2 linked regions of the Saccharomyces cerevisiae S288C genome follow. The gene in region 1 interacts genetically with each later gene. Each region holds a gene or a part of one and is shown on either strand. Other genes may lie near its edges.

Region 1 (3,682 bases):
ATGATTGTGGCGCCATGTACGAGGCAATCAAGGAGAAAGACCGTCAATACGGCCAATGTAGGATGCTATCTACTTACGATTTTCCCTATCGCTTGGACGGAAAAGACTATTACGTTGAATGTGGTGACAATTTCAAAGTTCGCTGGGATCGCTATACTCCACGTGAAGTGACGCCTTGGAGTGAGCGTTGCGACACGATTGATGAGGTAGGTAGTGTGTATACTATCCAAGGGTTTGATCTGAATTATGCTGGTGTAATTTTGGGCCGTTCCATTGGGTATGATGCGGCTAATGACTGCATCAAACTAAGACCAGAGCTGTATGACGATAGGGCCGGTTTCACCAAAAAGAAAAACATTCACAATGCAGAGGACGTTAAGCAAAAGATTATTATGAATAGCATTAATGTCCTCTTAACTCGTGGCGTGCGTGGTCTGTATGTTTATGCATACGATCCTGAATTAAGAGAGAGACTGCTTCGTCCATCAAAAAAATAGGAAGTACATAGTATAGACAAATTTTATAAATATTAACTTTTATTTGTTGCGATCTTCACTAATCTACGCAGATTTTGCCTTCGGTATATTAGCCTTCTTCTTGTTGAGTGCTTCCCAAGTGATTCCACCAAATACTATAAACATCCCCACCCATTGCTGGAAACGTACACTCTTACCGAAGACAATAATACTCAAAATCATCGAGACCATTTTCCTGGTGACTGTTATCATGATCAAAACTAAAGAGCCAAATTGTTCTAGAGTATAGAAAATAAAGCATTGTCCCATAGCGCCACAGAACGAATAAAGCATTAAATAGCCCCACACTTGTGGGTCCATCGTCAATACAGAAACGGCATTATCCCATTGTTTGCAGTCGATCACAATAAAATACAAAATATTCCACAATATCACGAAGAGGTTCAGTGTAAACATCAAGTGTGCACCTGTTATCAAAGTTTGTTTTCCCTTTTCTTTGGCCTTATTGGCCTTTAGTAGCTTATCTTGGGTGGCGTTGGTCAATCCATCAAGGAATAAACTAGAGAAAAGTAGTCCAAACCCTTGTAATTTGTTATCATTTCCGCTCTCATTAAAGGATCTCTTCAACTTTTTACCATCGTTGCCACCTATAGTGAAAATAGTGACACCGAGACTTACCAAGAGAGCTACAACTTTTTTTTGGCTTGCTATGGGCGTCCTATACAAAAGCAAATGCACCAACAACACGGGGATCATCTTGCATGACTTTGCTAACATGTAAGTGAGATAATCCACGTGCTTTAAAGAAGTTGTAGCCAGCGGGCCTGAACTACTCTGTGTAAATGATATCAACATCAATTGTTTCCAATGATCTTTAATCATTTTTCTGGGCGGATATTCCACCTTCTTCCAGTTTAAGTACAGGTAGCCCATCATCATTGCCACAGAAGCTTGTATGAGGGATATTACATTAGGGAATTGAAACTTTCCCATGGAGTTTGGCCAGGTTCTTGTAGCCAAAGGCTCCTGTACTAATGCCCACGTCAAAAAAGTAGCATATATACCAATCGCACAGATCACCAAACTGGATGTACTTCCCGCCATACAAATATACGAATACTGCCTTGTTTACTTCTTCTTGTTACGTTGTAATTCTGGTTCTAATTACATTGCTGTCATTTTTTCATGTTCGATGGGATCTACAAAACAACCTTTAGAAGCGATCTCAGGGAAGCTTTGGAAGAGAAACAGCTGATGATTCTGGCATTCCACAAACTACAACAACGAACCAAACGACATATTCCATTGCAGTGATTTGATTGGGAGTAAGCTTTTATAAACGAGCAGACCAATATGATTTACGTAGTATTTCGTTGTCTTTACCACATCGTTGTTCGTGATAAGTTCTGAAAATTTTTTTTGGAGTATATTTGCTAGAGTTAATCCAACAATATTAGCATAAACGAGCAGCTGGAGACTAGGTTATTTGAATTATTTGAGCATCAAAGTGATCAATTGTATTATATTACAGTGTAATTTTCTTTTTTTCCATATTGAATCAAAAACTAGCCACGCTTGAAACTAAAGATGGTTGCCTATTCTCCAATCATTGCCACCTATGGTAATCGTGCAGAACAGTTTTTAGAAACAGACTCAGACTTCGCTAAGTATCATGCGAAATTGAATAAAAAGTTGCAACACTTGAGGAGCCGTTGCCATTTGGTCACCAAGGATACAAAGAAATACTCAAGTAAAAATAAGTATGGCGAAATTAACTCCGAGGATTATGATAATAAAACTAAATTGATTGGTGTTTTGATTTTACTACACGCTGAAAGGGACTTGGCACTGGCTGAAACTTTGAAATTGAGAGCTCGTCAAAGAGGAAAGTTAAAGAAAAGTGAAGAAAAGGTTTTATCCACAAGATTGAAGAAGGCCTGCAAGACTGCTGATAAATTGGTTAACGTCACTCAAAATGAACAGCAATGGATAACTCGTGCCCAATATTTAGCGTTCGCTAAATTGGTACATTCAGAGTACCTAATTAATGGAAAAAGGTTCAAGAGGAAGGACAATGCCAAAATTTCGAACAACCTAGCCCTCGTTTTCGCCGCATTGGAACACTTGAAGAATCTAAGCTTATTAGCTGAAGAAGTTGTAGATAACATTGTTAATAAATACCAGTACTCTCTCAAGCAGTACGCGGGAAATTTAATTACAACGCCCGAAATAAATAACTTTATCGTGGAAAGAGTTCAATCTGATGAGAACAAGGACGATGAGCTTGTGAAATTGTTATTAGACAATGGATTCAATATGAAAAAAATTACAACCTCAACTGAAGATCAAAAGGTTACCACTAACATAAACTGGAGATCTTTCAACGCCAAGATAATCGATGCTGAAGTTGCTCAATTTTTGGAACAAGGTCTATCTATCCACCCAACTCAGATTACTCAATATACACAGAGGCTATCAAAATTGGAGAAAGCTTTAGACCGTCATGAATTTTTCATCGCAAACCACGACGATCAAGATGACATAGACGAGATGGTTGAAAATAGTTCTGAAAACAATCAGATAATTTTAGCCTACATTAAATATAATATTCTTTTGACCTCTATATCTCGTGAAAGAGATTTGTTTACTCATTTATGGAATCAATGGCTGAAATTAAATACTTCATTACCATCGAAGTTAACCAAATATAAAGAAATGGAACGTATTGTGAAGAATTTGACAAAATATTTATCGGACATAATGGAGCTACCTGGTGTGTATTCAGATGACGAGCTGCTAAGCCAATTAGACTTATGCAAGCTGTATTTCCAGTTATTTCTGAATACGGGCTGCCTGAGTGTTTTATATCAGTCGAAAGGCAGATATATGGAGGCGTTAGCTCTATATGTGGACGCTTACCGAAGATTAGAAAACAAATTATCTGAAATTGAATCTCTAGACGAAATCTTACTTCCAGCAAATCTTTTGTCATTGAATTCTGTCCGAAGCTTACAAAAGAGAATCGAAAACGGTGGTAATAGTGTCATTACTTTGGCGGAATACGAAAAAAGAAATCATGGTGGCAGCTTAGGGAAATATGATTTGACAGTGATTGAAAAATTGGATAGTAAAAAAATACTGCCAACGGACATACAATTGAAAAATTTATTCCCTCTCAAGCCAAAAATGCTGCCCATTCCTAGTAA
Region 2 (3,284 bases), on another chromosome or scaffold:
CGGCATTGAGCATCATAGATCAACTAATAAAACATTCTGTAATCAAGGTGGACGCTACACATTTTGAAATAATAATGGAGGCATATGACAAAGAGGGTTATCGTGACGGTATAATTAACTTGTACAAGACAATGTCACAGAATAAGGTACCAGCGAATTCCAAAATTTTATATTATATATTGAAGGCCGTTGCCAAAAAAAGCCTACAAAATAATGAGGAAATCAAGGAAACGATTAATATGGTAGAAGACATCATGGAAAATGCTGCCAATGGAACTCTCGACGTTACGTATAACAAACTGCATCCCTCGGTCATGGCATGGCCAATGAGAATGATTGTGAAACATGATAGCCCACAGCGGGCTTTAGAGTTATACAACCGGTACAATGAGCTTTTCTTCAAAAAGCATGATTGGATATCAAATAATAATAAATTTGTGATGATGAGATCATTGTTGGTATTACTAGCTCAAATTGAACAATGGAAAGATTTCGAAACACTTTTCGCTAAATACATGGATCGTATTGAAAACATTGAAAACTTGCCATCATCTACAACGCCAAATATTAAACTAAGAAGCATATTCAGCGGATTGTTCCCTTATAAAGTAAGTCAGTTGATTGCAATGAATAAAATCGATGAGCTGCCATTACTGTGGAAGAAATTGCGAGAAAAAGGTTTTATTTTAGATAATATATCGTGGAACAGCGCTGTAGAAGCGTTATTTAAGGATCCAAGAACCCTTTCGTATGGTATGAAAATCGTTGATGACACACTAATTCATGGGTATAATTTGATCCATAAATTTAGACTATTAACGAAACTATCCGAGGATAAGACGCAGTCCAGTGATAAATCTTGGCCAACATTAAAAATGAAGGAAAAAGAGCCCAATAAATTTCAGCCCAGACTATACTTAAAAAGCGATACATATAACAGTATAATGAGGCAGTTAGACACATATTTGGACGGTATTGATGATTTAAAAACTTTAGAAGATCAGGTACGTGACTTCATATCAAATTACAAGTATTTTATGAAAGATTACTTATTAATGCCAAGAAGCAAGATCAATAAATGGGAACAGATTGAAATGAGACATCTTTCATATTTTAAAGAACTGAGGAAATCTAAGAGAGTATTACCTGTGAGTAAATTCTAGAAATGCATATATCATATTGTATAATCAACTGCATATATATCAAAAAATCATGTAAATAATTAACAAAAATTGAGAGAGCAAAGACTAGTCTAAACTTTGTTTTTATTTTCCACGGTCAGTGTATAGTTGCCTACAGTTTCACCGTAAGTTAGCAAACCTACCCATGGTTGAACATTCCAGTGTAACTTGAAAACCAAATCCTTGCCTTCGAATTTTCCATCTTCAATATCCCAGATAGAATACTTGGATCTTAGATCGTTCACATCAATCACAGCATCATCCTTGCTTTTTATGATCTTATCCCAAAATGTTACCTCACTTGTTATTTTTTCAGTACTGTTATACTCAGCAGTTAGATAGACAAAAACTTGCTTTGTATTCCAATTGAATAGGGGAGTGAGATCTGTATTTAGATCAAATTTAATTTTCATATTTTCCTTTGCCTTGCCTCTCTGTGAGCCAAAATATCTACTTGTTCTAACATTTATTAAAGTTTTGACGTTATCGATATTACTAGGTACTGAGAACGCGTTATTATTGATTAATTGATAGTATGAGGATGCCATGATGAATACAACCATTACAATTCCCATTGAAAAGGCCTGGTTCGATACATTCTGGAATCTTTGGACAAAGGAGAACATTGTTCTGGAGAAGTGCGGCAATGCTAGCTAGCTTTGTGGGTCTTTGTCTCAGTGGAACTTAATAGGCTTAACAATCAACTTTTTTCTCCACGTCTACCGACTGTCATGAAATTAGTCGACCTTCGTTCTGCGCCTTTGAAATGAAAAATTTCAACGTAATTAAAAAAAGATAATAGATGAAAAAAAGGTAGTATTCACGTGTGGCTTCAAGAAGACACCAAAGGCAGTGGTCTAAGTTTGTGTTGGTAGAATGGCTGGCAAAGCAGGGAGGAAACAGGCTAGTTCAAATGCAAAAATAATTCAGGGCTTATACAAGCAAGTCTCTTTGTTTTTAGGAATGGCTATCGTACGTCTATTCATTTCACGTAAGGTTACAATTGGCCAATGGATTAAGCTGGTGGCTTTGAACGTTCCTATGTTCGTTGCTCTGTATATCATTGTGCTATCCGGTAAGCCCAAATATGATGGCAATCGCGTAGTAAAACAAGGTATAGACTTGAACGACAATACAAATTTGATATCATATTTTTTTGATTTGATATATCTATCACTTTTTGGTAACATTGGTATTATAGCTTTCAGGACATTCAAATTTTGGTGGTGTCTACTATTGTGCCCCATCTATGCTGGTTACAAGTTATATGGCCTCAAAAACATGTTCATGCCTGGCGCTCAACAAACTCAGGCAGATAATCGCTCAAAAAATGCTAATGAGGGACAATCCAAATCCAAAAGGCAGATGAAAAGGGAGAGGAGGGGTGAAACTGACTCTAAAATTAAGTACAAGTATCGTTAAACAAAGCTTTTCAAACGTTTTTGAAATTTTTTGCTTTCTATAGAGGAGTGTGAGTATATACAAAATAATATTTAGATATACTTAAAATGAGCATGCTACACAGGTATCTTCCAAAACACTGTCATAACGAAATTCTTATAGCCGTTCCATAAACGGGAACAATATGGGGGCAAAGTACGGCTGACATATGCATCCAACCTAAGGACATATTGTTTAAATATCTGCCTCATAGATTCACTTTGTAGGTACCTTAATTTGAAAAACCATACATAGGTTAGTCCTGCCAACATTGTACCCACTACCTCAAACGACACGTTTGCTCTTCTTACCAACAACAAGAAAAAATTGAAGGGCACTAAGAAGAGGCCCACACGTAGGCCGCAGATAATCTCAAATACTTGCGCCATCTGTAAGAAAAATCCATTGTAGTTTTGGATGAATACCGTTATTTTGGAGTTCAACAAATTTTTCAAATTAAGTGGTATCAAAGGCAAAAATGGCAAAAGGTTTTCCTTAAAATAGTTCAGGAAGTGAAAGATTGAAAAGATAACGGGACTGTATAACGAGCCGCTGATTATGATGTTAAACTGTGATAAGAGAAAAAGTATGAATAGCATGGCAAAATACTGCAAATTATCCAATTTCTTCATCTCTTGGCGCAAAAGCGTAAAATTGAACTTT

What was found.
Region 2: mutations in HUT1 (region 1) and SND2 together harm fitness more than expected from each alone (negative genetic interaction), as found in Saccharomyces cerevisiae (2 studies listed by BioGRID).

Annotation. Positions count from the first base shown.
Region 1 is NC_001148.4:86,454-90,135, forward strand, and holds HUT1 (UDP-galactose transporter HUT1), read right to left. Parts: upstream 1,581-3,682; coding exon 561-1,580; downstream 1-560. Other genes in the region: YPL245W (uncharacterized protein), read left to right, coding at 1-497; signal recognition particle subunit SRP68, read left to right, coding at 2,064-3,682. UniProt on the Saccharomyces cerevisiae protein: May be involved in specific transport of UDP-Gal from the cytosol to the Golgi lumen. Involved in the maintenance of optimal conditions for the folding of secretory pathway proteins in the endoplasmic reticulum.
Region 2 is NC_001144.5:265,692-268,975, reverse strand, and holds SND2 (Snd2p), read left to right. Parts: upstream 1-2,057; coding exon 2,058-2,603; downstream 2,604-3,284. Other genes in the region: PET309 (Pet309p), read left to right, coding at 1-1,163; signal peptidase complex subunit SPC3, read right to left, coding at 1,253-1,807; PER33 (Per33p), read right to left, coding at 2,699-3,284. UniProt on the Saccharomyces cerevisiae protein: Functions in the SND pathway, a SRP (signal recognition particle) and GET (guided entry of tail-anchored proteins) independent pathway for targeting a broad range of substrate proteins to the endoplasmic reticulum.